Macaca mulatta: one gene and its partners. The protein of the gene in region 1 interacts with the protein of each later gene in a biochemical or structural test. Links are inferred from orthologs where the notes say so. Each region holds a gene or a part of one and is shown in the gene's direction. Other genes may lie near its edges.

The links.
Region 2: the proteins of ACTA1 (region 1) and GSN are reported together in a solved structure, tested with the Homo sapiens proteins (3 studies listed by BioGRID and IntAct). The link is inferred for Macaca mulatta from reciprocal best matches to the Homo sapiens genes ACTA1 and GSN.
Region 3: the proteins of ACTA1 (region 1) and GC are reported together in a solved structure, tested with the Homo sapiens proteins (2 studies listed by BioGRID and IntAct). The link is inferred for Macaca mulatta from reciprocal best matches to the Homo sapiens genes ACTA1 and GC.

What each region holds. Positions count from the first base shown.
Region 1 is NC_133406.1:19,613,076-19,617,371, forward strand, and holds the start of ACTA1 (actin, alpha skeletal muscle), read left to right. Parts: upstream 1-1,373; 5' UTR 1,374-2,149; intron 2,150-3,019; 5' UTR 3,020-3,031; coding exon 3,032-3,160; intron 3,161-3,266; coding exon 3,267-3,591; intron 3,592-3,713; coding exon 3,714-3,875; intron 3,876-3,959; coding exon 3,960-4,151; intron 4,152-4,242; coding exon 4,243-4,296. UniProt on the Homo sapiens protein: Actins are highly conserved proteins that are involved in various types of cell motility and are ubiquitously expressed in all eukaryotic cells.
Region 2 is NC_133420.1:36,931,953-36,936,183, reverse strand, and holds the start of GSN (gelsolin), read left to right. Parts: upstream 1-1,296; 5' UTR 1,297-1,354; intron 1,355-3,066; exon of another isoform or gene 3,067-3,198; intron 3,199-4,231. UniProt on the Homo sapiens protein: Calcium-regulated, actin-modulating protein that binds to the plus (or barbed) ends of actin monomers or filaments, preventing monomer exchange (end-blocking or capping).
Region 3 is NC_133410.1:62,077,000-62,080,644, forward strand, and holds part of GC (vitamin D-binding protein), read left to right. Parts: intron 1-43; coding exon 44-173; intron 174-1,225; coding exon 1,226-1,428; intron 1,429-3,024; coding exon 3,025-3,154; intron 3,155-3,640; coding exon 3,641-3,645. UniProt on the Homo sapiens protein: Involved in vitamin D transport and storage, scavenging of extracellular G-actin, enhancement of the chemotactic activity of C5 alpha for neutrophils in inflammation and macrophage activation.

The sequences.
Region 1 (4,296 bases):
TGAAAAATAGTGACAGTCCCATTCTCCTTTGGAATGCGAACAGATATTGAGGTATCCAGTGAACGGCAGCAAATTTCCTACTTTCAAGGCCTAAATGTAAGCTAGTCCCCTTATGTTACATGCAACTCATTTGCCAGGTGGTTTTTTTCAAGTACCTCCACTACTCGCTGACACAGGAGGACACAGGATATTAAAAATGAAATACAGTTCTGTCAGTTATTCACTTATTCTCCAAAATACTTGGAAGAACTAAATATGATACCATAGGAGCCTTTATACTCACCACGTAGTCCCTATACTAGCCAAACTCCTTATTTTTTAATTGATTGTTTTTAGGAGGGTAGTATTTTATTCACTAAAACATTTTTGTTAATACTTCTTTATTTTTAGGATGAGCTGCCATGATGTGGGCTACAGAGGAGGGTCACATATGCTTCTATCCCCCTTTTAGAGAATCCGCACCTGTCCCAGTTGCTGATTTCCACTTCCAAATGTGAATTGCAACTATTTTAGGAGCACTTAAGCACACCAGAAAAATGAGTGATTCTGTTCTGGCCCACACCGTATCACTGATGTACCCCCTTAAAGCATGTCACTGAGTTCATCACAAAAGACTGCTCCTCCTGTGCCCTCCACAAGGTTAGAACTGTCCTTGTCTTGGGGAAAAGAGAGAGAGAGAGAGAGAGAGAGACAGGCACCAGCTGGGTAACCTCTGCTGACCCCCACTGTACTTTACCATAAGTAGCTCCAAATCCTTCTAGAAAATCTGAAAGGCATAGCCCCATATATCAGTGATATAAATAGAACCTGCAGCAGGCTCTGGTAGGTGATGACTCTAAGGTGGACTGGGAGGCAGCCCGGCCTTGGCAGGCATCATCCTCTAAATATAAAGATGAGTTTGTTCAGCCTTTGCAGAAGGAAAAACTGCCACCCATCCTAGAGTGCTGCGTACTTGCCCCCCTCTCCCCCCGCCCTTTATTGGCAGGAAGGACCAGCAAAGCCTCATCTAGGAAGAGCCCCTCACCCATCTCCACCTCCATTCCAGGTCTAGCCAGTCCCGGGTTATGACCCTCGTCTTTCAGCCCCAGGAGAGGGACACACATAGTGCCACCGAAGAGGTTGGGGGAGGGCCTCAGCCCACCAAAACCTGGGGCCAGTGCGTCCTAGAGGAGGGGAACCCTCACCCCTTCAATCCCTTTAGGAGACCCAAGTACTCTGCGCGTCCCTGAGGCGGACAGCTCCGTGTGCCCAGGCTTTGCGTCTGACGGGCCTATCCCCGGGAGCCCCCGCGCCTCTTCCCCGGCGCTCCGCCCTCGCCTACCCCCCCGCCAGTTGTCTGTCCTGCGACAGCTGCGCGCCCTCCGGCCGCCAGTGGCCCTCTGCGCGGTGGGGGAAGGGGTCGACGTGGCTCAGCTTTTTGGATTCAGGGAGCTCAGGGGTGGGAAGAGAGAAATGGAGTTCCAGGGGCGTAAGGGGGAGGGAGTTCGCCTTCCTTCCCTGCCTGAGGCTCAGGAGTGACGGCTTCTCCAATCCGCCCAAGCCCACCACTCCACACGTCTCCCTCCTCCCGGTAGTCGCAAGTGGGAGTTTGGGAATCTGAGCAAAGAACCTGAAGAGGAGTTGAAATACTGGAAGTTAGCAGTCAGGCACCTTCCCGAGCTCCCAGGGCGCTCAGAGTGGGCATGGGTGGGGAGGCCTTTGGAACAGGTGTGGTTCCCGGAGCGCAGGCGCACACATGCACCCACCGGCGCACGCGGTGACCCTCGCCCCACCCCATCCCCTCCAGCGGGCAACTGGGTCGGGTCAGGAGGGGCAAACCCGCTAGGGAGACACTCCATATACGGCCCGGCCCGCGTTACCTGGGACCGGGCCAACCCTCTCCTTCTTTGGTCAACGCAGGGGACCCGGGCGGGGGCCCAGGCCGCGAACCGGCCGAGGGAGGGGGCTCTAGTGCCCAACACCCAAATATGGCAGGAGAAGGGCAGCGACATTCCTGCGGGGTGGCGCGGAGGGAGTGCCCGCGGGCTATATAAAACCTGAGCAGAGGGACAAGCGGCCACCGCAGCGGACAGCGCCAAGTGAAGCCTCGCTTCCCTCCCGCGGCGACCAGGGCCCGAGCCGAGAGTAGCAGTTGTAGCTACCCGCCCAGGTAGGGCGGGAGTTGGGAGGGGACAGGGGGACAGGGGAATACCGAGGGGAACCTGAAGGACTCCGGGGCAGAACCCAGTCGGTTCACCTGGTCAGCCCCAAGCCTGCGCCCCGAGCGCTGTGCCTCGTCTCCGGAGCTACATGCGCTTTAAAAAGGAGACAAGACAGACTCTGGAAATTAGACGTCTCCAGATTTTTCTCTAGCCCCTCTGGGCTGCTTTATGCGGCATGTAGGATGTGCCTAGGGAGATAAACGGTTTTGCTTTAGTTGTCGCCAAGGCAGTTCCCTTCCGAACTAGCGCTAGAGCTAATGAGCGAGCAGCCAGGACCACCCATGCTCCGTTTCCAACAGGAAAAAGGCCCTTTCTGAGTTTGAAATGTCATAGGGTTCCTAACAGGTCACTCTTCTCTGGATGGGGTGCCAACGCCTTTCCCATGGGCATCTCCTTCCACCCTCACGCTGGCCCAGCGAGCAGGCAGTGCCCAGGCCTTATCTTCCTAGGTGACAGATGTGGTCAGGGAGGTGCAGAGAGCATGGGCACTAGCGTCCAGCTCCTGGAGCAGGTGTCAGGCAGGGAGGGCAGACAGGTCTTGGGGGACATGTTCCCCTGGCTGTGTGGACAGAGGACTTCTCAGTGTGGTCTCACGACCCTGTGCCCCTTTTCCTGGTGCAGGGCAGCCCTTAGCCAGGGGCAAAGCTCAGGAAGAGAACCCCTGGTCGCCGCCCTGGCAGAATTTGAGTGGTTCTGGCAGGGGATATCCCTAGGTTCCTGGGGAGGGAGGACGTCTGAGCCGGCCAGGCCTCCCCCGCTGCCGCTGAGACGTCTGCGCTGATGCACCGCGCCTCTTCGCGGTCTCCCTGTCCTTGCAGAAACTAGACACAATGTGCGACGAAGACGAGACCACCGCCCTCGTGTGCGACAATGGCTCCGGCCTGGTGAAAGCCGGCTTCGCCGGGGATGACGCCCCTAGGGCCGTGTTCCCGTCCATCGTGGGCCGCCCCCGACACCAGGTCAGGCTGCCGCTCTGCGGAAGGAGCCGGGTCGGGGTCCCCGCGTAACCCAGTCTGGTGCCACCCGGAGCGGCGTTAATGGGTGCGTGGTGTCTCGGATCCGCAGGGCGTCATGGTCGGTATGGGTCAGAAAGATTCCTACGTGGGCGACGAGGCTCAGAGCAAGAGAGGTATCCTGACCCTGAAGTACCCTATCGAGCATGGCATCATCACCAACTGGGACGACATGGAGAAGATCTGGCACCACACCTTCTACAACGAGCTCCGCGTGGCTCCCGAGGAGCACCCCACCCTGCTCACCGAGGCCCCCCTCAATCCCAAGGCCAACCGCGAGAAGATGACCCAGATCATGTTTGAGACCTTCAACGTGCCCGCCATGTACGTGGCTATTCAGGCAGTGCTGTCCCTCTACGCCTCCGGCAGGACCACCGGTGAGTGCCCGCTGCGCCCAGGCCCCTCTCCCGCCCCCGCCCCCGCCCCCGCCCCCGCCCCTAGCGCTGAGCGCCCAGCCTTGGCCTCGCCCCCAGCGACTTACTCTCTCCCGCGCGCACAGGCATCGTGCTGGACTCCGGCGACGGCGTCACCCACAACGTGCCCATCTATGAGGGCTACGCGCTGCCGCACGCCATCATGCGCTTGGACCTGGCGGGCCGCGATCTCACCGACTACCTGATGAAGATCCTCACTGAGCGCGGCTACTCCTTCGTGACCACAGGTGCGCGGAGCCCCGACACCCCGGGAGGGAGGGCCGGCGGCGGGCCCTGAGTGAGGGCTCCTCTCCTGCTTCTACCCTACGCAGCTGAGCGCGAGATCGTGCGCGACATCAAGGAAAAGCTGTGCTACGTGGCCCTGGACTTCGAGAACGAGATGGCCACGGCCGCTTCCTCCTCCTCTCTGGAAAAGAGCTACGAGCTGCCAGACGGGCAGGTCATCACCATCGGCAACGAGCGCTTCCGCTGCCCGGAGACGCTCTTCCAGCCCTCCTTCATCGGTGAGCCCCGCGCGCCCGCGCCCCCTACCCCAGGCCCCGCCGGCCCCCGGCGCCCGGAGCTCCCGCTCACGCTCCCCTCCGCGGTCCCCAGGTATGGAGTCGGCGGGCATTCACGAGACCACCTACAACAGCATCATGAAGTGCG
Region 2 (4,231 bases), on another chromosome or scaffold:
GGCAGGAGGAAGAGCCAGGGCGAGACTCCCTGGGTCCTGTGGCTTCCCTGGCTGCTATTCAATGGAAAAACCAGGGAGTGAGCGCTGTGCTCTTGGCTTCTGTGCTAAACAACAGCCTTTTCTGCTCTGATCCCCAGCACCTGGCAATTACAGACTGTAGTACATTTCATCTTGTGTTAAGATGGAGCTTTACCCTGGCTGAACATGAGGCTGCTGCCAGCACCCAGGCTGGGAATGGACATCTCTGTCATGTGGTGCAGTCTCCTGTTGAGTGTGTGAATCCTTCCAAATTGGAGTCACGCGGCAACTCCAAGAGCCCTGGGAACCCACGTGTGCACCAGGACTGTTGGGAGGCCCTCCTATGCCTTGCCACATTATAAACGGCTATCGTCTCAAATGCATATGAGATGCTGTTGAGATCAACAAAGTTTTACATTTGTTTAAAAGTGACCTTGAACTCATCTTTCTGCCCAATGTGGATTTCCTCAATCTCCTCAAACAATATCTGCTATGACACAAATAAGAACATCCGTTTATGCAGAAGCCACAGTGCCTTGTCATTGTGCTGAGGGTCTTTTTCTCACTGAGTCTTCTCAACCGCCCCATGAAGAGGCAATCCAGGATGCCCATTTGACAAACGAGGAAACGGAGACTTAGGTATGTGAGCTCGCTTGCCCAAAGTTACAGGACTAGTTGATGTCTGGGGTTCCAAACCAGGCCCTTCTGACTCCACGGCGCCTGCTTAATGGTCCACTTTAAGGACCAGGGATGCACTTGGCATTTTCGTTACTTCATTCGGAATGAGCTGGGAATCGCTCTTCCTCTTTATTCCCTTCCGTGGGAAGGAATCTCCCTTGCTTTGTGTGCAGCCTATGTCACTCTCCGAAGTCTCACTTTGCCTCCTGAAGTCCGTCCTCTCCGGGGCTGAAATCGGCCTCCGCTGGTGCTAGTTGAGCATTGCTCGCCTGCCCGCCCCATCTGAGCTCTTGGCCCCAGGCCAGCTCAGGAGCTGCCCTGGGTCTCCTCCCCGACGCTAGGCCTCTTCAGATCTCCCCTCCGTGCTCCAGGCCTCAGTTTCCTCCAGGGGAAAGCAGAGGGCTTGGTGCCTTCCTGCGAGGTGAAGCGAGGGGTCGCCCTGGATGAAGGCAAGCTTGGAGCCACCCGCCCTGCAGCCGACGGGAGGGCCTGGCGCTCCTCCCCCACCCGCCTGCCGGGCCGCCCCGCCCCGAGGGCGGCTCCCGCCCGCGCCCTGCCCACCCCGGCCGCGCGCACCGCAACGCCCCAGCCCCGCCGCCCGGAACCAGCTGAGCACAGCTGGACCCAGCAGCCGCCGTCTCCAGCGCCGCAGCAGCAGGTAGGGGAGGCGCGCAGCCCCGGCCCCGGACATCTGGGGGTCCCGGGCTGATTTGAGCCCTTCCTCTCCCTTCCTTCCCGGTCCTGTCTCGCGCGCGCCTGGAGCTCGGCCCGGCCGCGGGGGTCGCTGGAAAAGGGCTTCCGCGCTCAGTTTTCCCGTCTTCCAGGGGACCAAAGAGTGTGGATGGGAGCAGGGGGATGGGGAGACGCTGGAGCAGGAGAGGAGAGGGGCCAGGCCTCCACCCCGTGATTCCACTGTGCTGCTAGCACCTGAGCTAATAACCTCGACCCCGCCCCCGCGATGGGGGAACTGTCCCGGGGTCACTCCCGCGCTTGGGGTGTCTGAGCCGGGCATGCAGGGGGCCACCAGCTACGGTCTGGGCGGTGACCCCGCTGGGGAGTCCACTCAGAGGACCCTTGCCTCCTGGACGATACCTGTGCTTGCTTTCCTCTTCGGCTTCTTCCTCTTTCTGAGGACTGTTAGAAAGTTCTTCCTTGTACTGTCTGAAATCTTCGGGCGCCTGCTACCTGTAGCTGCTGGCTCCTCCCCGGCCCTGCAGTGTTCCCTTCCCTGACTCACACGGAAGCTTCTTTCGGAGTTGAAGACAGTGATTGGAACCCCTTCTCCCTGATCCCCCATGTCTTCTGGGATCCAGCCCCCCAAAACCTAAATAACAGCAACTTCCCTCTGGTCCAGTGCAGGTTGGCTGGTCTGCGCAGTGCCCGGGGAGAAGAGCCAGTCCTCGGAAGACTGGGGGCTGGGGGTGTGGGCGAGCAGGTGACATTGGCTTTCTTCCTAGCTCCTTCTCTGCCCAGACATCTGCCGCTTTATCCTGTCCTCACACCCTCCTCAGAGCATGGAAGGGGCTTTTAAAACACCCAGAACTCATTCTAGGCTGTCTTGAGGGTAATTGGACTTTGTGGAAGGCGGGGCTTCTGGGGAGGTGCCTCTCGCTTTTGTTTGGCCTTTGGGGACTTTTCAAAGACTTAATCCTGTGTGTCGTGTTCTCCCAGGACCACATTTCTGACCAGGGCACCAGGAACTCTCACCGCTCTGCCCTTTACAGCGACCATAGCTTGCTAGAATCTTACCCCATCCCCATTTCACAGTTAAAAGTCAAGGACCCAGAGAGTTTATGATGGGCTAGTTGACACACAGTGAGGCAGGTTAGGGCTGGGACCCAATTCCAGTCTGCTCTTTGTGGATTCCTTGCTGGGAGGGACTTTAGCCTCCTTCTTGGGTGTTCCGTTCACTAAAGGGACAAGCATTCCCCACCGCTCCCCCCCCCCCCCCCCCCCCCCCCCGCTTGGGGATGCTGGTTGGTGTTTCCTGGGGCTGTTAAGGGAGAGAGGCTTGGAAACAGAGGAGTAAGGATGGGGATGGGAACGGTCGGCTTTCAGCTCCTTTGAAACTCCATTTTTCTTTCCGGGGCCTTGCTATTTAGAAATGCCAGGGAAATTGTAAACAGCCAGGGGAGCTTGGGTTGGCATTCGGTGAGTTACACAGCAGCAAAGAAGGTTTCTGTGTGAATCAGGGAAGGGAAGTTTACTCCAGAATTTTCTATAGTCCTTTTATTAGGGACTAACATGAGCCTGGAAACAGGCTGCTCCCAGGAGGGGTGGCTGCAGAGTTTGCCCTGCATGGCATTTCCTTCCACCCCTCCTCCCTCCTTTCAGCCCTTCTCTGGACCTGTGTTCTGTGCTTTGCCCTGCGAGGGGCCCAATAGCCTCGGAAGAGGACAGAGCTCTCTGTCCTCAAGATGCTTGTCATCTATAGTGGTTGACACTTTCGTGCCATATTAAGAGTGACTTCAGCCTGCAGGCGGAGTGACTAATTTTGTCTGGGTGACCCAGACCTCAGAATGAGTAATCATTTACCAGGAGAAACAGGAGTTGGAGGAAAAGACATTCTGAGAAGCAGGAACCACTTGTGCAAAGGCACTGAGGTTTTCTGAGCCATCCAAGTGGCTAGAGTGGAGGATGGGAGAAGGGCGGGGTGGTGGGAGTTGAGACTCTAAATGAAAATGGAACTAGATTATAAGCTAAAGGTTTGGACTTCATCCTGAAGGCAATGAAGAACTGAGAAAGGGTTTTGACAGAGCAGTGGTTTTTAAAAACTCATTATTCTGAATGGCCGATATGGGGGATGCATTGGACCAGGCTGATCTGGAGGCAGAAAGGCCCTGAGGAGGCTGTTGCATGATTCAAGTGAAGTAGAATGCAGGTCTGAACTAGAGCGTGGCCACTGGGATGGGTCAGAGCAGCAGATTCTGGAAGCCCAGCTGAAGGTCTCAGAACCTGCTATAAATTTCATCTAAAAGCAGACAACAGGCTATACCTACTGGAGAAGGCTGCTAAGGTATTCAGCATTGTAATTTTTTTTCTTTTTCATGAGTTTTAAAACAAACAAAAAATATTGTTAAAGATTCAAACATAAATTTTTATCCCCCCAAGCCCTCCTCTTTCCTCAGAGGTCGCCACTGTTAACAGTGGTGTGTGTGCGCTTCTGCCAAACACGTTGGTTGGATGCCTTCACTCTTAGCCATCCAGTGACAGTGGGCCACTTTCCCCTACTCCATGTGAATAGTTTGGGTCATTTGTGATGTGGGTCATAGAGATGATTTCTGCTTGGTCTATGGTACTTTGCTGAGACATTGATCTCTGGTTTTCTTTCATTAAACTTTTACATCCTATGTCTGTGGTCTCTGAGTGTATATATTTGCTTATCAGAGACCACAGGTGTGAGAGAAGTTAGAAGCACTGACTTGGAAATGGACCCCCAGTCTTGGTTCTTCGGGTGATCTTGGGCAAATCCTATCTCTCTGAGCCTCAGTTTCCTCATCTGTAGAATGGAGAGATGTTGGTTTGCATGACAATA
Region 3 (3,645 bases), on another chromosome or scaffold:
TGAGAATGTTGATAAGCTAACAAATTTACTTTTAACTGTTTAGCAATCTCATAAAGTTAGCCCAAAAAGTGCCTACTGCTGATCTGGAGCATGTTTTGCCACTAGCTGAAGATGTTACTAACATCCTCTCCAAATGCTGTGAGTCTGCCTCTGAAGATTGTATGGCCAAAGAGGTAAGACAATCTTTATTATCATTATCACCATGTGCCAGGTATTGAGTGCCAAGTACTGAGTGCCAGGTACTCTTCTAAGCTCTATTTCATATGCATTATCCTAACAGATGCTCACATGTATCCTGTGAAATATAAATAATTCTTAACATCACTGTACAGGTGAAAAAACAGAAGATTAGCAAGGGTCAATAATTTGAGATCACACTACTAGTAAGTGGCAAAGACCATATGCAAAGATAAGATTATCTGATTCTCAAGACCTTATGCTACTTGCACTGTATGGTATTCATTACCACATATGGTCATTTAAATTTAATTATAATTAAAGTTAAACATATATATTTAAGTTGAATATGATTTAAAATTCAATTCTTCAGTTATACTAACTGCATTTCAAATGGACAATGGTAGGAGCTACTACTGTTTTTATTATACTTTTTATAATTTGATGCCCATCTCAAATTTTTTTTGCCATTTTTCATTTTCATAATCCTTTAAAATGATTTAAATTTGAATAATTGCTTTAGCTGAAGGTCAGTCTCCAAGGTCTTGTCAATCTCTGTAGTAATAGATACATTGTGTCACCTTGTCTTTTTCCATTAAAAATGCATGTCTGTGTTAATAGATGTTTTTCTATAAGGATTTATAATGGCTAAATAGGATTCTGTTGCCTATGTCCATGTCGTGTATTACATCTATCTACCCAGACACACCATATTTTTATTTTACTAATCCTCTATTGTATTTAGGTTGTGTTGATTTTTTTAAACATTTTAATAAAATGCAATGTTGCACTTAATAGCCTTATAGTTGTCCTTTTATCCATAATTATTTTCTAAGTATAAATTCTTAAAAATAGAATTGTACATTTTTAAGACTTTTAGTACATATTGACAAATTGCCTTTCCAAATATTGTACCAATTTTCTTTCTGAGAGTATTCATACCGACTTTCATAAATGTGATGCCAAAGCTTGTAAGCCTATGTAATTCTTATTTTTAATTAGACTATCAGGAGACTAACAATGCACAAATTAACCGTTCGTTCTGTAGCTGCCTGAACACACAGTAAAACTCTGTGACAATTTATCCAAAAAGAATTCTAAGTTTGAAGAGTGTTGTCAAGAAAAAACAGCCATGGACATTTTTGTGTGCACTTACTTCATGCCAGCTGCACAACCCCCCGAGCTTCCAGAGGTGGAGCTGCCCACAAACAAAGATGTGTGTGATCAAGGAAACACCAAAGTCATGGATAAGTAAGTAGAGGTGATGTGAAAACGTGTTCCCATTTTAAGTTCATCTGGACAAAAAGTGGAGGCCAGCCAGACAGAGGGAAGGTATGCTATCACTCATTTCAAACACAAGCAAAGTACTACTTTTATGCTTTTCATGGACTTTAAGTATTTGTTAATTGATTGTAAATGACTAAAATTTGTAAAACACCATAATCAATTGAGTGTGATAGAAAGATTTTGGGTAGGGAGAAAGGAGCTTAGAGTTCCTAATTCTGCCTTCTCTGATTCTTGTGCACTGCCAAAAGAAGTGACTTGACAATTCTGAACTTCAGTCTATTGTTAATTAATTTGAAAATGTTAATACTTGCCTTATTTAGCATACAGATTGCTAATAAGAAATGCATGTAGAAATGTCAGTGAAAGTAAATGTGAAAACACATATTTGTATACAATGCTGAACACATGTAAAATATATCACGTAACCAGAAATATTTTTAATATTATTAACTAGTTTTATCATATTAATTCTGGCTCAAAATCACAAATCAAAAGCCTAAAGTATACTAAACTTTTGGACAATAAGCATTTGATACAAATAAAAGAGATAGCAAGCATAGAATATTTTTTTCTTAGCATTATCGATATTCATTTTCATTAAATTTAAAAAGAGATTTAATGCAAAGAAATGGTAAACTTTTGTCTTGTTTCATCCAGCTAAAAAAAGAAGTAAGATAAATATACCATGGTTTGAATAGATGTGTATGCATCATCATGGCATAAAAATATTTCACAAATAGTTTGAAGCCACAGGTTGAAATATCAATTAGCAATATCAGATGGCAGAAGTTATATAGGACTGAAACTTTAATTTACATTTTTCTAAACGTTTATTGTTTATATAAGTGCATAGACAGCAGTGGGATAAGACATAATGAAATAATTTACACAAACCTATTTTCACAGAAAAGCCTTTTGAAGTACCCACTTGATGTTTTATATGGGGTCAATTGTATTATGCTTGCACAAAGACAGTTCCATATGCATTTGAAGTAAATATGTTTACATATAATATATTTAAATGTATATTATAAGCAAAGCTTTAGTTCAATATTGACTAGTCACGATAGCAAGTATTAGTAGCTTGTATCTCAATGAAAGTATTTTATAATCCAAAGCCTGTTGATTTAGAGTCAGTCTGAGCTAAATCTCTTCTTTTTAATTAAGATGCAGAAACCAAGTGCTCTGCCTTTATGACAGATATTTCACATTTCAAAATGTAGGCCGGGCACGGTGGCTCATCCCCACAATCCCAGCACTTTGGGAGGCTGACTCAGGCAGATCACTTGAGGTCAAAATTTCCAGACCACCCTGGCCAAACCTGGTGAAACCCTATCTCCACTGAAAATACAAAAATTAGTCGAGCATGGTGGCAGGCACCTATAATCCCAGCTACTTGGGAGGCTGAGGCATGAGAATCGCTTGAACCCGGGAGGCAGAGGTTGCAGTGAGCCAAGATGGTGCCACTTCACTCCAAACTGGGTGACAGAGGGAGACTCTGTCACAAAAAAAAAAAAAAGTAAATATATAACACATATCTCCTTTTCTCTCGCATGCTAGGTATACATTTGAACTAAGCAGAAGAACTCATCTTCCAGAAGTATTCCTCGTTAAAGTACTTGAGCCAACCCTAAAAAGCCTTGGTGAATGCTGTGATGTTGAAGACTCAACTACCTGTTTTAATACTAAGGTATATTTGCTAGATTTTCTTTATCAAGCACATAGATCAAGGGTTGGAAAATTATAGTTCATGAGCCAAAACTTGCTCACTGCCTACTTTTATATGGCCTACAAACTAAGAATAGAAGAATGGTTTTACATTTTTACATTGTTGGGAAAAAAGCAAGAGAACATCAGTATCTCACGACCCATGAAAATTATACAAAGTTCAAATTTCAGTGTTCATACATTAACTTCCACTGGGACACAGTCATCCTCGTTGTTTCTGCAAAGCTTACAACTGCTTCTGTACAGAGTTGAGCAGTTGCAACAAAGACCATATATGGCCTGCAAACCCTAAAATATTTATTATCCTGCCTTTCGTAGAAAACATTTGCCAATGCTTAATGTATATAATACTCATACTGATACAATATTTGGAATTTTGGTTTAATGGCCAGATGGGACAACATTTCAAGACAAATAATTTTGTTATGCAATTATTGTTTTCTTACAGGGCCC